2 linked regions of the Oryzias latipes genome follow. The protein of the gene in region 1 purifies or fractionates together with the protein of each later gene. This does not show direct contact. Links are inferred from orthologs where the notes say so. Each region holds a gene or a part of one and is shown in the gene's direction. Other genes may lie near its edges. The genes, in order: kiaa0232 and dyrk1a.

Region 1 (12,263 bases):
TGGGTGTGGCTCGCCTTTGGCTCCAGGAACCCTGTGAGCCTGAAACCGATTCAGCTGGTTCTGAATGGATGAAAGTGTGCATGTTCTTTGTGTACATGGGGCTCCTGAGCCCACAGTGTAAAATAGTTGCTGTAGATTTTAAAATAACTTACTGGCAGCTGGATGCCAGTAAGTTATTGTAAAGCATTTTACAACTTTGTTACTGTAAAATGAAATACGGTACAATTTCTTGCTGTGTTTAATTTTAAAGTATAAAGCTATAAAATGAAATACAGTACATGGATATTTTACTGTAATTCATTTTAAGGTTGTACTACCCTAAAATGAAAAACAGTAGTAGTAGTTCCAGTAATTGTACTGTGCTTCCTTTTACGATAATATTAACGTATATCATTTCCAGTATATTTACTTTAAAATAAATATGGTAAAAAAAGAGTTACTCTGGTTCTCTTATGACGTCTGTAGCTGTTTTTAGGCCATATTCCCTATTTCACTTAAAAAAAAACAGTCATTCCTGCAATTGTTTAAGGTTATATTAACATGGAATGAGTTCGTAGATCTTTGCAACACCAGACAGAGACGTACGATCCTTTATTTTACACCTCAGAACAATTTCAATTCCCCTTGAACAAAACTAACGGATGCACAGAGAGAACATTCAAACTCAACACACAAAGGTTCCCACAGGGGTTTGAACTGCAGACCTCTTTCTGTGAGAGGATGGTGCCAACCACTGCACCACCATGTCAACAGTTTCTTTATAACTATAGTAAAATGGTTGATAAACAATTAATAATGACATTTTAACAGTTAGTGTTTAGTTCTGTTTTAAACTAGCCTAATTGCTAAAAATAAAAGCCTAACAATAACTGTTTAAAGTATTCAACCAGCTCTTTCTTTTTTCTTGGTTTGCATTAAATCCATACATATTTATATATAAGTAAACTGTCTCTTTTACTACAATCATCCCATGTTTGTTATAAAATGTAAAAATCTTGTGGATCCAGTTTCTAGACCGGGTAAGACACAGTGACACATGCAGTCCAGTTACAGAAGTAAGTGAGTTTGTGATCTTCTTATTTTGTAGCCAAAGTACTAACCACTGCACCACCATGCCATCTCTGAGGAAGTATTAACTGAATTCTCTTCCAAAATTGCAAACCCTCCTGGGTAACTTCACCTTCAAGGGTGTATTTCTAAAAGCCCATCATGTCACAAATGTTTTACAGGAAACGTTTGGATTCCAAAACATGTAACCTAAAAAATTCCAATGTTTTTGTCACCTCTTCACATTGAAAACTTCACAGAGGAAAAAGAAAACCGGCTGACCTCCACTGCGTATAATGCTGGACTGGTTTCCTCTAACAAAACACCAACAGGAAGCTGTTTTAATAACAAAATAAAAGCATCATGACTCTCCATTTGCAGGAAGCTTTATTGTATTCCCCACTCACACACAGTTGAAACTCAAACATTTACGAAAAGCCAAATCCATGTTGGGAAAGCACATAGAATCACATTTTTTCTGTCCATTTCTACCAGTAAATATTACATTGAAACTTACAGCAGTGACCATGAGCTTTTTCTAATTCATTGATGTTTACAGACATTACAGTAAAATACTGCCCAGTTACAGTATAGTAACCGTAAAAAGGCAGTGGCGGTTCTACATGAACTTTCTCCCCGGGTGAGTGAAAAGGAGCTTCTGGATGACCGCCATTGTTGTTGTCGTTACCTTCACCTCGCATGCGCCAGGACGGGTCAAGGTAGAGTGGAAACGCTTGCCGGAATTGCTTGGACCATTCTAAACCGGACCAGACAGTAAGCGGTCAGTGAAAAACAAGGCTAAACTAATCTTTGTGAACCAGTAATACTCATAATGGTTACCAGCGGCTCAAATACTTCCCTCAATGAAGTGCAAAGAAATGGATTCAAATGCTTGAAAGTTGATTTCTTGATTCTCTTTGAAATTTTCTAGATGTTACAGTTTGTTTGTATATATATTCTTTGGAAAATATACATCTAAATTTAAATGTGTTTGTGTGTATGTGGCAACAGATTAGAAGGAAACATGAGTCACAGAAGGAACGGCTGACTAAATCTGCATTTCATGTCATGACTCACCACAAAAGCATACATATTAAATATCTCTACAAGTTGTGGCAAGCCTGCAGCAACCAGTGATAATGATAAGGCGAGCCCTCAGAACTCAAAGTCAAGTCCCGGTAATCAGATATGCAAAGATGGTTTAAAGTGTGTTTTTAGTCTTCACATTTGCCCGTAGAGTCTAGTTTTCTGTGCTGGTGGAGTGTTTAAAGATTTGGACAGCTGCCATGGTGAAAATGAAAGCATGCAGGGTCCAGCAGACAGATCAGCAAAGGAAAAACCAGTCCTGCTGCTGTCATAAAGGCTGGGGGACCTTTGATGCAGACTGGTCTCCTTGATTAACGTGCAGCGCTGTCATCGGCCCTTTTCCAGAGATAACCTCTAAAAGGATTGTTGCTGCGAGAAGTGTGTCAGGTGAGCAGGAGGTGACGACCGCTGCTGTTTGCTGCTCGCGTGGCACCACTCCCACTCAGCGCGGGGGCCTCTGTGATTGCATCGTCATGAGAATCAAAGTTTGTCACATGATCACTCACATTAACATCAGTTTCTCTTAGGCTGCCCACAATGCAGTATAGAAAGACATGCGGGTGTGATCCAGTCATGTCTGTGAGGTCACATGACCTGTCCTCCGTGCTGCTTGTCTCTATGACTTCAATCAATATGACAACCATGAAAACTTTCTTTTTCCCCAAACAACAGACGGAGCATCCCATCGTTTTTAAGCTCTTCCTGGCTGCTAGAGTTGTGTCAAGGGGGAGGCTGGCTGCACTCTTATTGACTAAGTTAATACTGACTTGACCTATTTAATCCAACAAGTGTGTTACACAAGTGTGTATTAAGAGCAATCTCTGAGCAAAGTAACCACACAGTTAGCTGTGGTTTGTATGGGGTGCAAAATGTGTAAAGCTACACAGTCAAATGTCAACGGCAATATTTTTGGTTATTTAGCCGGTTTTAGGAGGAAAAACAACAGGTTTCATTTTTCAAATGCATAGTTTCACCTTTTAATTCGTGTATTTATAAATGTTACATTTACAAACTAAATATTTAGTTAGCAAGCTAAATATTTAATTTAAAATTGAATATTTTTTATATGTTCAGTTTACTTAATAAATGCTTCGGTTGTTAACTAACCCTTGTGCTATCTTAGATGACCCCACCCTCATATTGACGTGTTCTACCTACCATGACAAAGGTGGATAAAGGTGGAAAGATTTCATGTAATCCATGGACACCAGTGAAGATCACAAATCATTGAAGAAAAAAGGTTCAGAGCACTGTCTAGTGGGTCTAGATGACCCAACTCCCAATGTTAAAGTGCCTAGGATAGCACAAGGGTTACAGTGACAATTACAGTTGCATAAAAAACATATGTTTGCTTGTTAATCTATTATGAATCATTTTAAATTTGATTCTGTCATGTTAAGTTACGTTGACAGTGTTTAAGTCCTAATGTATAGTTGCCAAGTCTGATTCCCCCTAGATATGAATAAATACACACCAATTTTTATTTTTTATTCTAAGAAATCAAAAACTTTTATGCACTTACAGGCCACATAAAATGAAGTGGTGGGCCACATTTGGCCCGCGGGCCTTGAGTTTGACACGTGGTCTAAGGGCAGAGATGCCCAGTTTAGTTTAGTCTGTGTAGTTAGATCAGTTTAGGATTCTCCTATTGAATATATGTATTCATGATCCATGATTTGATGTTTACTTTACAATTACCGTTATTGAAGCCCATTGAGACGACTGTTGTTGGGATTTTGGGCTCTAAAAATACAATTTAATTGAATTCTAATTCATCCAGGTAGATTCCATAAAAATAAGTCAACTGGACTTGGTTTAATCTTTGAAGATGTTCCTCCTCTTCTTCTTAGCCGAAGAGTGGAACATCTCCTAAAATTGTACGTGCCATGATTGTGTGTACAGGAAGCAGATATAAACACAAAAAAATTTAAATGTATATCATAAAACAGATGGCTCGTGCTCTGGTATGGACCTGTTAAAGCTGTTAGTATCACATGATGACCCGCTAACTAACACCGACAAGTCACAGTGACTCTGCACTGCATGTGATTTACTTGCAAGCGTCACCGACGTCTGCCTCCATCCTCCTGGTGCAGGGCAGCAGCCGACAAGCCCCTCAGCCAGCACTGGGATTTCCCAATGATGTGAAATAAACTGAATCTTTGTAGGAAACATCTGCCTCGCACCCAAAGCCACTTCCTGGGAGAAGATTAACGGGCCTCGTTTAATTGTTCTGTACCATCTGCCGCACGATGACTTCTGGTTAATGAGAACCCTGCCGATAGCAAAGCGCCGAGCAAACTGAGGTGCAGTCTCGTAAAGGTCACTTTTTGGGGCACGTTGCGGCGGTCAAACTCTGGTCAGACTCTGGTCAGACCTTACCAGGACAACAATCTGTGAGGCAGAACCAAATTATGTATTTCAGGGGTCATTTTGTGGATGGGTCTGAGGAGCTAGCTTCAGTTGGGAATCATGAGTGGCTCAGTATTTGTGTTCAGTGGTCCTAAGAATTCTTGAACGACTGTTGTTGTATGAAATGCATTTCAGTAAGCCACCTGAGTCTCACCTCAAGTTCACAAGCTCTGCCAACACAGTTGCCATGTGGAGAATGTGGAGTAGTGCAAACAGCTGGTCTGTAGGCTTGGACTTACCCTAGTCCCCAGATCATGACCCCCAAGGATGAGAAGGCAGATGAAACGTGCATGTGCACACAGCTTTGAGGGAGGGGGTGAAGGTTGCTGGGTTCATTTACAAGACCGAAACTTCTGCTCTTGACTTTTGGAAGCTCATTAAATACAACATTTCTATTAGCAGCATCAAAAACTACAACGTTAAAGTCTGAACAGGAACACGAGAGGCTGGGGCTGTTAGATTGGAGTCAAAAAGGCAAGATGTGCGAATGCTTAAAAAAATGCATGAAGGTGCTCTGTCTGAGCTCACGGACAAATAAGATGCAAGGAAAAAAATGAGGCCATTAACTGGATTAAGTGTAGGTCCCAGAAAGGAACGCGAGACATGGTGCAGATCTCTGTACATGAAGATAAATCTGCTGAGGAGGGTCCAATTTGACAGAAAACACTTATTTCGCTCCAAGAAATACATACACACACACACAGAAACATATACATATAAACAAGTGTTTGTCCATCCATCCATTTTCTTAACACACATATCCCTTTTGGGGTCACAGGGTTAATGGAGCCTGTTGGGTGAAGGCGGAGTACACCCAGGACAGGTCACTAGTTTGTCTCAGGGCCACAAGCATTTATATAGTGTTTATTTATCATTGCAGGAATGTAGCTGTATGGGACACTAAAAAACGGCGCATTAGTGTGCTTATGTGTTTGGCGCATCCTCACCAGATAGAATCAGTTACAGCCTATTTACTACAATAAAACCAAAATGATGCTGTTGACTGTTATAAATTAGCAAGGCAAAACCACCCAACAGTTTCATTTATCATTACAATGACAGTACAGGTTTATTCACAAACTTAAAGTTTGACTTTCAAAGTAAAATGTAGTTTTTATGTTGATGATTTATTGTTTAAATTAAACGAAAGTAAGGGAAAAATTACATAGATTTACTTTATTTACTTTGATATGTGGACAAATGTTGTACAAGTAAGGGTACAGACATTTTGTGCTAATTAATATTACATCTAAAATTAAGAACTTATATTTGGGCTGGATGGATTAATTCTATAGTTTTATAAAGCCTACCTTTTCTTTTGTGATTATTTTCTTATTAATCAAGCTGAATTATTAATTTATTTTTATTTACTTTAATTTTTGTAGTTGCCCTGTATTGGTTTCATTTCAGCGTGGGTGTGAATTTTAAAAGGACTACTTATTTGGACTTGTGATGTAATACTCCAGCGGAAGAAACTAACCAGCCCTCCCAGGACGGCGGAGCTTCGCCCCGTTGCCTTGGATACAAACGCGAAAGGTGTCGCATTCAGAGGAATGTTTCTTAAGGAAACTGGGTTTTCTCGGCGGACAGAGTGGCTTTCGCTAGTCCACACCGCCCGTCGGTGACTTCTCGTCGGCTGGAGCCCGAATGCGGCTGGTTTTCCTGCTGCTGTCGGAGACACGGTGGATGTGAAAACAGCGCCATTTCTGTCGGCGTCCTCCATGATACGCGATGCTACCGCAGCGGATTCCAGAGCTCGAGCTCGGAACTGCAGCGGGAGAGAGATAGCCGCTCCTCTTTCGCTGTTTCGCTCGACTTCAGCCCACGGCATGTAAGTAAACCGGCGAACAGGCTTTCTTCCCGTCTCCGCGCACACTTGGCCATTTTGGTGTTTAATTTTTAGTAGTCTTAGTGTTTTTAGTTATGACGAAACGGCGCAGGGAAAAACGTCTGACAGTCCTCTGGTACCGGGAAGCCGTTCCTCCCCCTTGATCACAACAAGCGTAGCTACGTGACGGCTAGCGTTAGCTAGCTATAGCTGGTTGGAATTTGTTTTAAAAGAGTTCTTGGATTTTGGCATTGCCATATTTATCTCCCGCGTTTCCATTTGTGTCTACAAACTTAAGCGAATTATATGTTCTCTTGACTTGTTTATTCCGAATTATTTTATGGAGAACCGTCATAGCGTTTATGTATGTCGCCGTTATAAAACCCGTGATAAATTTATCTTACTAAACAACCGGATTAAATGGGGTTATTATGACGCGATAGCTGAGACCAATGCCTAAAATTATCGTCATGCTAATTAAAATGATTAAAATAAAGAGGACAGTGACAGAAAAGGAATAGCGCTAGGAAGCTAATGTAGCTAGCATAGCTCATCTGCTAAAGGTCGGTGGTCAAGCTAACCTTGTCGTTTGACTGCCAGTGACGCAAATCCTTTTAGTTTGTCGGACGCTGAACTACGTTTGACGTTTACGAAATTCGGCATTATAATTGCACACCAAAGTTAAGGTTGTATTATTAGCGGCTTTTCCCTCAAACTCGGAGCAGTTTTATTTATTGCCGTAAACTGTCCGTTTTTTGCGCAAAACTTCAATGCGCAGCAAAAAATACTCGCACATTCCCGCCACAGCACTCCAGTCTCATGTGTTCCCATCTAACGGCAAAAAGACCGCTTCTGTTGGAAGGATTCTTGGGTCATTTAGGGGTTGTGTGGAAACCTTCAGGCAGAAATTAGCTACCAGAGCTAATGCGCACGCGAACAGCTGGCTTGGAGACACTGGTCAGCCATATTTAGCCACTATTCTATCAAGATTGCAGACCTATAAACTCCTGACCGTCTGCGTTTAACGCACTCGCTGCTGTCCCACAGAACCGTGTGGATTGCTGACACGTCATGATGGCACACTGGAGCTCCTTATCTCGCCCTTTGACGTCCTCACCGGGTGACGGCGGTGAAGTTATGTTGGATTTTCGACAAACATTCAGCGCGGAACCAGAGCGGTGTCTCTTAGGGACCGTCAATAAATTAACAAATGCCTGATATGGGGTGATGTTAGATCATAACTTAGACTCACTGTTTTGCTTAAAGAAATGGATTACAATGAAACAGGTTCATCAAGTTGTGTTCATAGGATCCTATTTATTTTGCTATGACTACAGAATAAAAGTTTGAAGTTAATATTCTGGTATTTTGTTCAGTAGCTCCCAATCAATGTGACCTTAGGATTCCAAATGTATGCCGAATTGTACCAACACCAGACACACCCATTTATTTTTGCAATTTTAGATGGTGAATAAGCCTGCACAATAAATGGCAAATTTATTGTTATCGCAATATCAAGCTGTGCAATATGCTAATCACAAACGAAGGTGAAAATTGCAATAAATGGTAAACTTAAATGTGCATCAACAATTTTATGGCAGCTTGAAGTATTTAATAAATCAAATAAATCCCTTTATGCATTTGACCAATCAGACGGAGCCCTTTTATGTTAGATGGTCGTCTCCTATGTAGACGAGGGTCATTTGGAGTGTAATTTAGGTTACGTGGCCTCTAATTTAAATGAAACGGTAGCAGTGAAATGCAAATGATGTTTTTGGTTGTTTTGCTATTTGTTCATGAATCACAAGTTATATCGTCGTCGCAATATTGATCACTAATATCGCAGATCGGTAGTTTTCCCCATATCGTGCAACCCTAATGCTGAAAATTTTTTAATATCAAAATTTCAGAGGTTTGCATATTAATTCTGGCATTTTTTCAATAGCTTCCAAACCATGTGACCCTAAAAAATGAAACTTATGCTGAATTGTGGCACTGACATCCCAACATAATGCCCACCACTTTTTCTTTGCAGCTTTAGATGAAGAATATTTTATGAGTTTTTATATTCAATTATCAGAGGTTCCCATATGAATTCTGGCCATTTTTTCAATTTACTCTAACTGTGTGACCCCACGAGTCCAAATGCATCCCATTAGTCCATTGGACGAGAGTGCAGTGCATTGGTCAAGAGTGATATTTGAGACAAGAAAACAAAACTATTTTGTGCTTCCTTTCTCCTGCTATTTGCCAGAGATTGCTGCTCTTATGTTTTTTTTTTGTTTCAAGTGTCTGTTGGGATGCCAGTGCCACAATTCGGCATACATTTCATCTTTTTGGGTCACATGGTTTTGGAGCTATTAACACAATGGCCAAAATTCATTTTAAAACTGCTAGAATTTTAATACAAAAATTTATATAAAATATTTATCATCAACAATTTCAAAACAGTGGTGTGTCTGATGTTGGGGGTGTCAGGGCCACAATTCGGGACACAGTTGGGTCACATATTTTGGGAGCTATTGAAAAAAAAAAGCCAGAATTCATACGTGAACCTCTGAAATTTTAATTAAAAAATGCATATAAAATATTCAGCATCTGTGATTGCAAAATAAATTTGTGTATGGTGTTGGTATGGTCACACAGCTATTGAAAAATTAGAATAAATACAACATGAGGAAATGCTTTATTGTAATTTAGTATTAGGTTTGATGTAAAATCTTCGCCATATCATGCACACGTCCATCGAATATCCAACCTAAAACTAACTTCACCGTGGTTTCAGCGGGTAGTTATCAAAATGCTGCTGCTGAGTGACGACAGGGCCAGCCAATCAAAAGGGTGCAGCCTCCATTCGTAATTTACGAATGTACTGCTGCCGCTCTGCAGAAACTATGTTCTCGAAAATGACAGTTTTTTTTTAATTTTAGCTAAAAGCAGCATAGTCATAATCTAAAGACCAATGGGAACACTTTGAAAATAGTTTAAAAGATGATTAAAGTGGGACTTTATCTCAACTTTGACAAAGTCTTTAAAAACTCCTTGTTTCTTCTGTTTCAGCTGATGCCGGTGAAGTAAGGCCGAGTCCCAACATGGACCACTCCGACTGAGACTTAAACACGTCTTGTGTTTTCCTCTGCAGCTGGAATCTGTCAGCAGCATAAGCCATGCCTCACGAGTGAAATTTCTTTCCTTTTTTTCTTTTTGCTAAAAGCAATAAAAACAAAAGATCCTACATGCCTCCCCATGTAGAGCCCCTTCAGTGCATCCTGCTGAAGTGAGCCCCCTCCCCGCTTCCAGGAAAGTTCTACCTTCTCCTTCCTCCTTCACCTGCCACCCTACCGTCGCTCTCCGTCACAATGCTGCTCTGCCTGACAATGGCCAAAACCTGAGGTCCCATGCGTCCAGTGAGCACCGATTCAGACGGTCCTGCTCCTCCTGAGAACTTCTCTTGCCCCTATCCTCTTGTGGGCCCCCTGCCTCCTTCAGAGATGTCCCTGCTCCAGTCGCTGGGTCCAGTGCAGAGCTGGCTCGGCCAGGAGCTTGAGAAGTGTGGGATTGATGCTATGATTTACACCCGCTACGTTCTCAGCCTCCTCCTGCATGACAGCTATGATTATGACCTGCAGGACCAGGTGAGCGTCAAAGTCTTTAAAAATATGTCACAATGCAAAAACAGAGTTTTGTTTTTTCCACTGCTGGGTTAATGTATATTTACTGAAACAGCTGGATCAGAGCTAAGGTGTGTGGGACACTGATAATGTGACGCGTGGTTGCACAAAGGCTTTTGAAATCAGGGTTGCAGAAGCCGTCGCTCTTGTGAAATTTTTTTTATTGCTGAAGTTTTCCTGTGTAAACAAAGGTTTCAGTTTCAATAGAAGTTATCACAAGTCTTCGCTTACACTGCACTCTCGATTCAGATGAGAACATTGTGTTCAAAGGCTGAAGTGCAACTCTTCCAAAGACCCAGTGCAATTTCTTAGAGCTTTCTGAAGGACCCAAACATTTTCAAGTGTTGAACCGGTTTGCTGACTTCAAGCTTCAAACCTGCCACACTTTAGGTCTCAACAAATACTGACAGTATGAGGAACAAACTGCACAGAACTGCAGCAGGTTAGTCTGCAGTTTTTATAAAGATCACTGTAAACAGCTCTGAACTGACTAACTGCAGATTTCACACTCAAAAACGGGGCCCTTAGAAATAAGTCAAAAGCATTTACTCCATTGGCAAATTTACCTCAAATAAGCACAAAAAAAAAAATTCTGCCAATGGGATATGACAAATGGTCTTAACAAGAAATCTTAAATTATGGTAAAAGAAATCTAGTCACCATGGGTGTATTCAGACTGGACACATTTAGAGTTAGATTCCCCCGATAATCCAGAACAAATTTTCAGTCTGAATACGCCCAAGTGGGCCCTGGTCCGGGACCAGGAACCGCTCTCTGACCCATCTTTGGAGGTGGTCTCGGTTCGTTTCCAATTGGACTGTGCTTTGGTTCGCTCTGTGATTCCTCAGTCTGAATAGAATCCGTCATCGGAGCAGAACAACTGAACCCAAACGTGATTGGAGTAGGAATGAAGCAACGGACAAGTCGCTGAGAAATGTAAAGCAACCATTGTTTTATCAAGCAGGAAAAAGGTCCAACTGTTTATTTGTTAGAACTTTTATTTGAACAGCTGAAAACACTTCTCACATGCTTTGATGTCACCCTAAAGGCTACCTTGTAGTTTCCTCAACAATTCTTTTAAAAACATAACACCACAACATTGACACACATCAACTCATTGACATGAGATTATATGTATTCAGGCTCGTTACAAACACTTGAACTCGACACACATAGCTTCTCACTGTTTTCTGCACAATCTATTCAACATTAACAGTTATCATCCATACCCGACATTTGCTCATTACTTAAGTTGCTAGCATCCTCTGAGTTTAAGTACACACGGCACGTCTCCTTGCAAGTAACCAACTTGCAGCACGCCTCAGCCGTACCGAAGTAACAAGTAAAAAGTGTTGTACCTGACGTTCCAAATCTAAATTTAAAGTTCTAAGAGATCTTTAGTGTGGGATCTTTAAAGAGATCTTTAGTCACATGGTTTTGTTTGCAAGCTCTGGTCTGAATGAGCCGCTTGATGCCAGTCTGAATACAGACAAAACGCAAAATTCGGGACTTGATCCGGACGAAATTAAACAGAATCAATCTGGACAAAAATGACTTTTCCTGTCTGAACAAACCCTAAGAAGTGTTTTTTCAAGTTTAGATTATTTTGCTTTTGAAAAACTTTCTTTGTGTGATTTATTCTTCTTGCAAGAAAGAAAGTGATTTTTTTCTGGTGCCCTGAAAATGTTCAGTTTTGCACAGGGATGCTTCCTGCAGAATAACCTGAGTCTGGACCCTGCAAAGAGACATAAGATCTTTCTCAATCACCAAGGAAATTGCACCACCAACCACTTTCTTTTTGTTTTGTGCAGTTACAATTTTGAAATGCAGTCCTCAACTTGAATTTTGTTGCAAACCAGTTCTGATCTGTAAAATAGTTTTTACATTCATTTATATTTGACTTTGCCTTTTCTTTGAAAGGAAAACGACATCTTCCTGGGATGGGAGAAGGGAGCTGGGAAAAAATGGGGCAGGAGCAAGAAAAAAGGAGGAACCGACCTGAGTCTGGAAGAAATGAAGAAGCAAGCTGCTGTGCAATGCCTTCGCTCTGCATCTGATGAAGTGAGATTTGTTGGTTTGGTAAACTTGGCACCTCTTAACATAATGCTCTTGCGTAGTGTTCGGCTTCTTTAGAATTTTTTCTCTCAGTTTTACTGTTTTTTCATAATATTTTGGCTTTGACTCGTTTCTTTTCTTCTGGTTTTTAAAAGCTTTTTTTT
Region 2 (12,349 bases), on another chromosome or scaffold:
CTAGTAAATCCTAATCTTAAAAGTAGGCATCAGCATTGGATGCCAAACACTTAAACCAGGCAGACAAGTTCACCTTTGCAGCTCATTCATTCATTCATCTTCTTGACCATTTTTCCCTTTCGGGGTCACGGGGTTGCCGGAGCCTATCCCAGCCACTTGGGCGTATAGGCAAGGGATGCCCTGGACAGGTCGCCAGTCTGTCGCAGGGTAGAATATCCTCAATCACACATCCATTCACTCTCACACTCACACCTGTGGACAATTTAGAGTTGCCAATCAACCTATGAAGCATGTTTTTGGACGGTGGGAGGAAGCCGGAGATCCCGGAGAAAACCCATGCATGCACGGGGAGAACATGCAAACTCCACACAGAAAGGTCCCCCATTGATGTTGTGTTTTTCATGTCCCCCAGCTGGGACTTGAACCTTTGCAGCTCACAGATATAAAAAACTGATCACTTATGGGAACATTTTAGGTAAAGGTTGATCTGGGGTCTTAATAATTAGCAAGTGAATCAGCTGGTAATGAACAGAAATGTTTTTTAATGGAGTCACTGATAGATGGGATGGCTGCTATAACAAAGAGGGCAGCAGTTTTAAGTGGCATTAACTTGGTTTTTGTACATCGTCCACAATTAGACCTTTTTTTATTGATAAGCAACGAAGCCATGTGGTGATGCCCTGCCCAGACACTTTTTCAACTCCTTTTCTTTGGCTGTTAGTTAAAAGTATTCTACCTGCATTGATTGTTTTGAGCAGGATTATGACTGGCCCCCAGATTCCATCCAGATGGTCAAAAGCGTGAATGATGGGCAGGTTAGAGGTAGCTTTCATCTCTACTTTTGTCACACAGCCAGGCAACGATCCAAATTCCTAGAGATATGATGGAGTGTTATTTCGGTTTAACCCAACTTAGCTCATTTACAAGAACATGATATAATGTAAAACTGTGGTTTGGACAGGTATGTCAAGGTCCTGCAACAGAATAAGCCATTTGTGATAGTCATCAATTGTAAATGTTATCTTTTGTCAAAAGAAAAATCAAAACAACATTAAAGCGAGCATTGATCTTCTACGTATAGATCTATTTGAGTCAGTTAGTATATGAATCTAGGGGGAAAAAATACAGTATTACAGAACTTCACCCAGACAAATTGAAAATCACAGATCTGTTGAATTATTTTTTATTCTTCTCAGCCGCCTTTGACTGATTTTATTTACAAATAAAATATTGAACTCAGGTAACTTTCAAACTGTAAATGAAACTTTCTTGGGAATCAAAGCTTCAAAAATTATTCTTGAACCTAAACTGCTTTGATGTCCATTTTGATCTGTTAAGCTACCATCTTAATAACAAACCGAGAAGGAGGGTCTAAGGACAGGGATGCCCAGTTTAGTTTAGTCTGTTTAGTTTAGTTTAGCCAATACCTATTGAATTGTATGACTTCATCTTCTTTATGATTTAATGTTTATTATACAATTACCGGTATGAAGCCCATTGAGATGACTGTTGTTGTAATATTGAGCTAAATAAATAAAATTGAAATGAATTGAATCTTCCTGTCATGTATCAATTTCTCCTCTAGATCCAACTCCAACCAGACTATTGAGTGATATGTTTCATGTACCATAAATAATATTGATCCAATAAAGCTGCAGAGACCCATGAAATGTTTTTTATTTGCACATAAATGATTGGTTCTGATACAAAAAAAAGTTACTAAATGTTATAACGCGTCGATGAGTTTACTAAAACATTTTATCCTTCTAAATGTGAAACATTTTATAAATAAAAGATTAATGAACTGGACTGACCCAGCAAAAAAAGAAATGTTGAAGTTACTGTATTGCAAGACTTTGCTTTTGATTGGCTGGAAAAGTTGCAGATATTAGGAGTAATACAAAGATAAACCAGTTTATTTATTTATTTATTTATTTATTTATTTATTTATTTATTTATTCATTTTTGTATGCAAAACTCTGTTTAATGCTGAAGTGTCCCCCAGAGATGCAACAGGTTGTCTTACAGGCAGGTAAAACCAGTCAGGCTCTGAGAACATGCACACACCTGGGCAGAGAAAGTTAAGAAGATAAAGAAGGAATGTAAAGCACAAAATTTGACATTTTTTAGAAAAACATTTAAAGTTTCATTTTTATTTTAAAGTATTTTTTAAAAGTCTTTTTTTAAATATATTTTTATTCAGCAGCCTACAACGTCCCAAAATCCTTCTTCACTGCTGATAATACAGTCACAAATTCAAATGTGCAACAAGTATATCTCTATCAATTATATTTTCTTTGTATGAAAAAAGTGAATTCTTAAAAGAAGTAATTGTTTCTCCTCTTGAATTTGTGGCTGTTTATAAATGTAAGCAGCCCCTCAGGATAAAGGTTATTTCAGTCCAACACACAAAAAGGTAACAAACTATTGTATCAAACTTTTAGTTGTATGGACAGAAAATTAATGGATTAATGAAATTAGTATCAAATTTGCTTATAACCATTGATGTAGCCGCATTTAGCTAAGTCTGAATGTTGCATATTTACTGACCCTTTTCCATTTGTTTGGTTCTATCTTCTTTAACCTAAATGTACACTTAGGACAAGGTCTCAAATCACCAGTTCAGCTGACTCATGACAGCTGAGAAGCATCTTCAGTCATTTAAACACACATTTCACAACACACCAATCAAAATTTGCACCAACAGATAACAATAATAATAATTGAATATTAGCAGGGTTCATGAGCTCTGGACTCTGTAGCGCATAGATTGACCAATCTGATTGTTAAGTGTACTGTACTATGAAACAATGCCAGTCGCCTCTCTGCGACAAGTCAGTTACAAATTAGCTTCACAATATAAAATATGAACAAGGAAGTTTGTGTCCCTGAAATGCTGTTATTGTCTGATTTGGTTGCTAGCTGTAATAAAAATCAAGGGTATTTCACTTAAGTCTAACCAAGTAAAGCTGAGAAATACAGGCAGAATTTATCATATTCCATCTCAGGCTTTCATGATGGTTAAAGTCTAAAATTTAACAGTATTAAAAACTATAAATCCGTTAAAAAAAAAGTTAGAATTTTTTTTAACATTTATATTCCAGTTTTTGCATATGGGCATGAAAAGGCCTTAAAATAATTCACCATGGACTGTTAGCACTGTACAATTTTACAACCACAAATTTTTACACAATGAACATGCTTAACCCAACTACTGATTCAGCATTAATTGGTTCAGTGACAAGTTAACACCCATACATCTCCTGCAATGTGGCCAGTACTAATCTACTGCATGCAACTGGAATTTCTTTTTAAAAGCAGCATTTGATTATTGTTGCAGCATAACTCAAACTTACAAGGATAAGGTTGTTTTTTTAAAACCTTTTCAAAGTTTAAAGGATATTAATCTTTAATTATATGGGTATCACTAGTTTTATACAATTGTGATTTGTAAACAGATAACAAAATAGAGCCTTATATTTTAAAATTTTCTAAATTAATGTAGACTATTTCTGACAAAATTGTGATACATAGATAGATAGATAGATAGATAGATAGATAGATAGATAGATAGATAGATAGATAGATAGATAGATAGATAGATAGATAGATAGATAGATAGATAGATAGATAGATAGATAGATAGATACATAGATAGATAGATAGATAGATAGATAGATACATAGATAGATAGATAGATAGATAGATAGATAGATAGATAGATAGATAGATAGATAGATAGATAGATAGATAGATACATAGATAGATAGATAGATAGATAGATAGATAGATAGATAGATAGATAGATAGATAGATAGATAGATAGATAGATAGATAGATAGATAGATAGATAGATAGATAGATAGATAGATAGATATGAGGTTGAAGAGGTAGCAAACAGGGTATGACACAGCAACAGCACAAAAACGACTATACAAAGAAAAATTCACATATATATATAAAGCCATGGCTAGACACAATATCTAACAAAATATGTTGTCTGGTTCACCAAGCGAGCTACATGTGTAGAACTCTGGTCAGTTCAGATTTTATTCGTCATTGGTGCATCCGGGTACTTCCATTTTTTTTGATTGACAGTTGCCATGGGAACAAGCTAGAGCATCGCCATTTTGTCAGGAGGTTTTTTTTTTCCTCTGCTCAGTCTTTTCAAATGTTCTCCCTTCCCGCCGGAATAATGCTGTCAGAAGATATATGTTTGACGTTTTTGGATGTTGAAATGCGCACAGTGGATCGGATCAAGAAAGTCAAGAGGCCGATGTTTTAATTGAGCTGAAATAATTAGGCGGCGCCGCACTAACTCAGTTGTCCGTGTCTCTGGTCCACCGGGCCGGTTCACTGCGCAGGTTTGGACCGCGCGCCATTTTGTGAAAATTGACTCAAAATTCCTAACCAAAATTATCAGAGGACGCGGCTTATGGTTTGTGTTTTCATGATCTGGATATAATTGTATTGTCGCACTAGTCGAAGCGACCGATGTGAATTTTGTAAAGATAGCGTTAAATCGGAATTTGGCATAACGTTTGTTTAGCGGTTGCTAGAATAGTTAGCTTGAGGCCAACCAGGGCAGGTAGCTAACGTTAGCTGCGCTCATTTTGTCATCCAGCTAGCCAGCTCGCTAAGGTTAGCTACTGACTTATGCGTGCTGCTTAGCATGTTGCTTGTCATCGGGTAATATTAACATTTGCTGAAGTTATTTCGGCCTTGGATGTTGCGCATTAAAGCTTGAGCCATGAAGTGCATACCAGATGTGACTGACGGGTTATTTTAGAGCTTGCCGATCTGAGTACAGAGATTGGATTTACTCGCTAACCGTGCAGGGAGGGGAGAATCTCAAGCTGGATAAGTTTCCTCATCTTACAGGTTATTGGACTTTAAATGAAGATCGTGCCATCAGAGGTGAGTAATCGCAAACTGTTCTGTTGCGCATGATCGTTTCATGGCGTGGATACTACATCTTTCGGCGGATTTTTTTCACTCTGCAGAGGGAATAGTTAACAATGATGGACGCGGTAGACAAGGATGGTAGCTGGTGTGGCGGCTAGCTAACATTTTTTCCTGTAAAGCCAGCGTTAACGTTCGCCTCCAGTCAGTAGGTCAGTGGACGGATTTTAACGCTGGGCGGATTTAGTCTTGATGTCGGCTGTAAATGATGTGTAGCAGTCAATGGAAGTCATGTCTGCACAGTGTTAACGTTTTTGCTAACTTTGCTATATCAGACACTGTCATTGTATGATTGAGACCCTGTTACGTTCCGCCTCCGATTTGACTTACTGTCAGTGCGGTGGGTAATTACATTAATACAAGGGGGCGGTTTGAGCTTCAGTGCTCAGAGGCTAACCTGGCTTGGTAGCTTATTCGGCTAACGTGGCTAATGGTTAACGCTGACTTGTTGACGAACCAGTTTGAATGGGCCCCACAATCCGCTGGCTCCACACAGCGTCACTAGCTAACGGTGGGCTGGTGGTGAGAGACCTGCTCGCCTATCCCGCAGTTTCAGGGGAACGACGAGCACGTTAGCTAGTCGGACAGCTAACTGTAATGCAAGCCCATAAACGTTTGTCATCCTCACCGGGATTTGGAGTCCTACATTAGCGATACAAAGAGAGAACGGACGTTAACTCTGAACATGCCTCTCAAATTCCAGCCATGACGAGATTTATCGTATCATCTGTAAGTAAAGAATTTCTCGGGAAAAGCGTCTGTTTGGATTAACGATGGGCTTTTAATTGTTTAGAGATGGGTTTCGTCTGATTCCGCTTTGGAATGGATCTAAGCAGTTGGGCGTGAGAAGATGACACACCGGTTTGATCCATAGGTCTTTAACAATCACTTGTGATGTTATACCGCTCCGAATATAAGCTAACTGTTATTATATTCATGCTTTATTAAGCCCGTTGATGGCATCATGAGCACAGCTACTGAAGGAACTGTTCAGTCTCTTAGTCCTGAACCTAAAGAATAGTAAGACGTTTAAAAGACGCCGAAGCAGCGACGGGACTGCTTTCAAAATGCTTTATCGGCTTCACTTGTTTAAGAAAATTATATTTATTTGTCCACATTGAATTAAGAAAGTATTTTATTTGTCTTTAATGTTTAATCAGTGTTCTAAAATCAAACTTTCAGCTCTTTGTTAATTTTAGAAAGGTAAATAGAATGTGTCTGTGTTTGATTTTGTTTATGCATCTTTCTTTTTTCCTTCTCAAAAGTATTTAAAACTTCCCATATAGGTGACAATTTAAATAGTTTATTGCCTGATAAGTTCAGGGAACCACAAAAATATCCAACCTGATTTAATTTAGTGTCATAACTATTTTCTGATGAGCTCAGTTTGAAGATTTAGATGCTTTTTTTTTTTTTACTATTGAACTTGGTGGTCATACTGATTGTAATCATTTCTAAAAATTAAAAGTCACAATGGATGATTTTGTCCTATTATAAATATGAATTCCTAAAATGCAGCTAACCCCTGATGACTTTGCAAAGTTTTGGATGGCCCTCTCCCAAGCGGTCCTGTCATTCACTTCTTCTCAAGTTACTAGTAAAGTTCAGTAGCCACCAAAAATGTAAACTTATAATAATGTCTTTTTGTTCCTTGTAGTGGGTTGTGGTTTGCTGCTGGACTCTCCTTCCAGGATGATATGAAATTTTGCAGAAGATGCATCCAGGTTAGCTGCTGTATACTTTCCTCCACCACATCTTTGGTGGGGGACTTTAATATTTTTTGGCTTTCTTCTGTCCTCCGCTTACAGTTTTATTCAATCTGGCATCTATCCTCTCCAAATTTTTGTCTCCCTTTAGAAGATAAAGATCTAACATATAATTGAGACCATCAGGATTATTTAGTTTATTTTTTAAATAGCTATGCTACTTTATTAATAAATAAACACACTTTTTGTACAGTTAAAAAAAATGCTGCTTTTTGAGCCTTAAAGGGCACTAGAAATTCTACAAATAAAAATAAAAGAAAGCCCCAATTTTTTTAGGTTTAAATATAACCTCTATATCTAAAATAGAAGTGAAAGGACTCCCACTTATGTGTTTAAATTTTATAAGAAAATAAGTCAAATACGTAGCGCCTTATAGCACCTCAAATATAGTGTTGCTCTCTGCTCATCTTACAGCTCCTTTTATTTCTGTCAGTGGACGGGTATTTCTTTACTTTTCTAAAGCTGGGTCAGCTTTCTTATGCTCTCATATGAAGTGCAGGTTTTAGGCTGTGCAGCTATTTTGCTGTCAGGCTCTTGTGTTGAAAGCAACGTCTAAGTGTGCCAAAGTTCAATTTTATTTCTTGTTTATTTCTTGTTTTCTCATTGGAAAATGGGAGCAGCTCTGCCCTGGCAACAAAAGTAGGCTATTTGCATACTGCGTTGTGATTGGTCTGTGCGTTGATGGGCTTGCCAAATCACGCTGTATCTCTGTGGTGATAGGCTATGCTAATTAGGTGCTGTTGCTGGGATTCTGAATAGTGGTTACTGTGTAGCACTGGTGAATTGTGTTGTCTGGTGAGAGATGCTGATAGCTGAACATGCTATTTAATAATTTTTTGATTCCTTCTGGCTTAAAATGAAGGATGATTCACCGTACAGTGTGGAGATGCTGTATTCTCACCCCTTTTCACTGTTAAACTGGCTGTTTTTTCCCCTTTTCCTCACAAAGGTTGACATATTTCTGCTGTGTTTTGATTTTTTTGGGGTTGTCCTTTGATTGCATTGTTTAACGTGTACATGTTTAACATAGCACTGTGTATAAACCTGACATTTAATTCTTTAATTTACTAGATTTTGCTGTTTTTGTTGGTGTTTATCATCATTTGAGATTGATTATTAACACAAATGTAAATAATGCTGTTAATTTGCATTTATAAATTCCTATAGATAATTTCTTTTCATCTTAAACTAAGCTGAAGTTTTTTTTGTAAATCTAAACAACAAATAATGTTTCTTTATTATATTGTTTTACCTGTAAATAACATAATACATCTTGCTGGCTTTCTTTGTAGCGTTAAATCTCTGATGACCTCTTTTATTTTCCTTTTTCACTTTTGTATGTTTCTCTGTTCAATGACTTTAAAGGGAACTTTAATTTCCTTTTTAGGAGGAGAGACTTCAGCATGCAAACCTTCGTCCGTCCGGCTTGCGCCCTCTTTTTCTTTACACACTGCTGGTCTTCAGATGGCTGCTCCAATGCCCCATACGCACCAGCAGTACAGTGACCGCCACCAGCCAACCACTGACCAATCTGTTACGGTTTTACCGTACAGCGACCAGACACCACAGCTCACTGCCAATCAGGTACAATCACCCTTCCCACTGCCCTTTTAGGATTTACAGGAATAGCTAAACTTAATTGCACACAAAAGTTTGCTCCCTTTTTTTAAACAAGTATCACTAGGCAGAGTAGCTGCATGTCAAATGTCTTTCTGTGTAATTGTGTCACATTGTGTTAACAGCTTTGAAGTTTAAACACAAACCCTGTAAGAGGAACTTTTTACTTCTAAAGTTGTGTTTCTTTTGTTTGTTTGTAAAATGTTGTTGTACTTTTATTTCAGAGGCACATGCCCCAGTGCTTTCGTGACCCAACTTCAGCTCCCCTGAGGAAGCTCTCCATCGACCTTATCAAAACATACAAACACATCAATGAGGTGAGGCTTTGCTTTAGTAAAAGTTCAAATCATTCTTTGACATTTGTTTTCCCCTTGTTTTAAGATGTTTGCTATTTCAACATTCTTTTTTTTTAAATTGGTAGTCTTTATTATTTTATGAATTTGTTGTTCATAAAGATAGATATTTTTAATTTATAAGAAAAAAACATTATTATTCATTTAAAAAAACAGGAATTTTATACATGAAAAACCTAATTTGTTGGAGCAAAATCCAAAGGAACATTTAACATTTCCTGAAGAAATCTCTGCATGTGCTTTTCTGAAATGCATTCAATTTTCTTTTTTTCTTTTTCAGGTTTATTATGCAAAAAAGAAGCGGCGGCACCAACAGGGTCAGGGTGAAGACTCCAGTCACAAAAAGGAGAGGAAGGTTTTCAATGATGGCTATGACGATGATAACTATGACTACATCGTCAAGAATGGGGAGAAGTGGATGGACCGCTATGAGATCGATTCCTTAATAGGAAAAGGATCATTCGGACAGGTGAGGAATTAAAACTGACAGTCTGTTATTTGTCCACTTCTAAGGGGTTCCAGCTTTCTGACCTTCCTTTTTTTGGTTTTAAATCTTGATGTTTAGTGTAACAAATGTGCTTCAGATATAATACTTTTAACATATTTAATACTGGTTTTGTTCAATTCTCAGGTTGTGAAAGCTTATGACCGAGTAGAGCAAGAATGGGTTGCCATTAAGATCATTAAGAACAAGAAAGCTTTCCTTAATCAAGCCCAGATTGAAGTGCGCCTTCTGGAGCTTATGAACAAACATGATACGGAGATGAAATACTATATTGGTAATTTACTTTTGATGTCCCACATACAGAACAAATCCAACGGCTTGCAGTGTCAGCGACTAACGCGTCCAATTTTTGTTTCTTTGCAGTCCACCTGAAACGTCACTTCATGTTCCGTAACCATCTCTGCCTCGTGTTTGAAATGCTGTCATATAATTTATACGACCTGCTTCGAAATACCAACTTCCGCGGCGTCTCACTCAATCTCACCCGGAAGTTTGCCCAGCAGCTATGCACGGCACTACTCTTCCTGGCCACCCCCGAGCTCAGCATCATCCACTGTGACCTGAAGCCCGAGAACATCCTCCTTTGTAACCCCAAGAGGAGTGCCATCAAAATAGTGGACTTTGGCAGTTCATGCCAACTGGGACAAAGGGTATCTACCATCATATATTTCATCTGCTATACAGTCTATGTGTGTTTGTGAGAAATGGTTTGCAATTTTCAACAAAAGCAATGCGCTTTACAGTCACCCTCACTTCCCACGCTTTGTGTTTGTAGATATACCAGTATATCCAGAGTCGCTTCTACCGTTCTCCAGAAGTGTTGCTGGGAATGCCCTATGACCTGGCCATCGACATGTGGTCCTTGGGTTGCATCTTGGTAGAGATGCATACCGGAGAGCCTCTATTTAGTGGAGCCAATGAGGTATAAAACATGATAAAAATATCAAAGACATATGTGGAGCTTATTGATAACAGGAATATCGAAAAGTCACCTTGTTTGTAGTTCTTCAATAAAAAAGTACCCTTAAAACTGGATTTGTAAGCCGTGGTGTGTTCCTACAAGAGCTTAGAAGCATTTTGACATTTACCCTCATTTATAATGAGTGCAAATACTTATTAAAAGATGCATTTGGTTTCTTCAGGTGGACCAGATGAACAAAATAGTCGAGGTTCTTGGCATCCCACCCAATCACATAATGGACCTAGCCCCAAAAGCCAGGAAGTTCTTTGAGAAGCTTTCAGATGGTACATGGAGTGTTAAGAAGACCAAAGATGGCAAAAGGGTGAGTTGACAGCTTTAACGCCAACTGATGGGTGCTGATGACGGAACTGTCTTGTTTGATGTCTTGATATGCACATTAAAAAGCTTTACATGTCTTTGGTTTCTTTGTAGTATAAGCCTCCAGCTTCGCGGAAGCTCCACTCCATCTTAGGTGTGGAGACGGGCGGTCCTGGTGGCCGACGGGCAGGGGAGTCTGGCCACGCTGTTGCTGACTACTTGAAGTTCAAGGACCTGATCCTCCGGATGTTGGACTATGACCCCAAGAGCCGCATCCAGCCGTACTATGCCCTACAGCACAGCTTCTTCAAGAAGACTGCGGACGAGGGGACCAATACAAGTAGTAGTGTGTCGACAAGCCCCGCATTAGAGCAATCCCAGTCGTCAGGAACCACCTCCAGCACCTCCTCCAGTTCAGGTAAAGTCCATCTAAAGGTTCTTAAAGCTGCACTATGATGACACAAAAAGATGTATTTCAATAAGCCAGAAGGTTAGTAAACAGTTACTATTATTTTATTTTGTTATATTGATGCATAGTGAGAAAGGCTTAGGAAACCATTGCAGGCGATTCAAAACAATCTTTTAGAGTTTGACATGCCAATAATAGAATATTCCAATTTTCTGAGATTTGGAATTTGTTGTTTGTATTGACTACGTGTTATGATCAAGCAAAATAAACAGCTAAATTATGTCGTGTTTGTGACAAACCTGTGCGAGTTCCTTTTTTGAATAGAATTACTGAAATAAAGCAACTTTTGATGAAATTCTAATTTATTATTTAAAGCCTGCATTTTTCTGGTTGTATGTTGGCTTTAGGTATCAGGAAAATCTAAGTGTGTTGATGTTGCTTACATAATAACCTTTATGCAATACTTTGATGTATTTAGGGCTATGTAAGGGTATTTTCTGATTGTTTTTCAAGTGATAAAAGGGTTGTAAGTTTGGGTGCAGCGCATTGATTTTAAGATTTTCTTACACTCACACAGATACACAAACCGCATGCATGCCTGCCGGATCCTAATGTATTATCTTTAGCATTACTACTGGTGATCTTATGGGGAAATAAGACCTCTAACTGCTAAAGACATGAATATAAAGAAGAGCGACAGTGTGTTTCTGATGGAAGCGCTTTAGTTGGGGCTGACCTTATGTTGTGTATTTGAACACACAGGAGGATCGTCTGGGACAAGTACCAGTGGCAGAGCGAGATCTGACCCTACACATCACCACTTGCACAGTGGAGGACACTTTGGCACGACGATGCCTGCCATGGATGGTGACAGCCTCTGTCCACAGGTAAACCTGCTAGCTCCAAAGACCATTGGATGTGAGGCTTCAAAGATTTATTTTGGAGGGAAATGACACGAGGTGTAGCTTCAGTAATGGTTCCAACTCTACATTTTCTTTAGTGATGAGCAGCTTTTATTTCATGAAACGTTCAAGTGTTGGTAAATAAGATTGTGTAAATGCATCCATCTCAAAGTTTGATGTTGAAAGGCTTTGCCTGCAAATAACACCAACGTTTTCTCGACAACAACAGGCAAGACAGCCTTACCCGCCCCCACTGGTGTGGGGAGGGGGCGTCGGACCAGAGTCGGTCACTGGGGAAACTCACCCAGTCCAGGAGACCACCTTCCATGTTCCCCCTCAGCACCCCAAGGCCCTGCATCCCCACTCTCATAGTCATCACCACCACGGGCAAATGATGGCCACTCGTCCACGTCCACGCCACTACACCTCCCCGACACACAGCTCCTCGACACAGGACTCCATGGAGGTGGTTCATGGCCATCTGTCCATGACCTCCCTGTCTTCCTCTGCCTCCTCTTCCTCTACATCGTCCTCTTCCACTGGGAACCATGGCAAC

What was found.
Region 2: the proteins of kiaa0232 (region 1) and dyrk1a purify together in Homo sapiens (affinity purification with mass spectrometry; 3 studies listed by BioGRID and IntAct, with this or other methods). This does not show direct contact. The link is inferred for Oryzias latipes from reciprocal best matches to the Homo sapiens genes KIAA0232 and DYRK1A.

Annotation. Positions count from the first base shown.
Region 1 is NC_019876.2:26,950,901-26,963,163, reverse strand, and holds the start of kiaa0232 (uncharacterized protein KIAA0232 homolog), read left to right. Parts: upstream 1-6,014; 5' UTR 6,015-6,376; intron 6,377-9,433; 5' UTR 9,434-9,771; coding exon 9,772-10,008; intron 10,009-11,964; coding exon 11,965-12,105; intron 12,106-12,263.
Region 2 is NC_019871.2:12,320,982-12,333,330, forward strand, and holds the start of dyrk1a (dual specificity tyrosine-phosphorylation-regulated kinase 1A), read left to right. Parts: upstream 1-4,113; 5' UTR 4,114-4,917; intron 4,918-5,499; exon of another isoform or gene 5,500-5,691; intron 5,692-6,619; 5' UTR 6,620-6,676; coding exon 6,677-6,686; intron 6,687-8,115; coding exon 8,116-8,312; intron 8,313-8,569; coding exon 8,570-8,662; intron 8,663-8,978; coding exon 8,979-9,167; intron 9,168-9,329; coding exon 9,330-9,477; intron 9,478-9,566; coding exon 9,567-9,853; intron 9,854-9,978; coding exon 9,979-10,125; intron 10,126-10,345; coding exon 10,346-10,486; intron 10,487-10,596; coding exon 10,597-10,900; intron 10,901-11,653; coding exon 11,654-11,778; intron 11,779-12,022; coding exon 12,023-12,349. UniProt on the Homo sapiens protein: Dual-specificity kinase which possesses both serine/threonine and tyrosine kinase activities. Exhibits a substrate preference for proline at position P+1 and arginine at position P-3.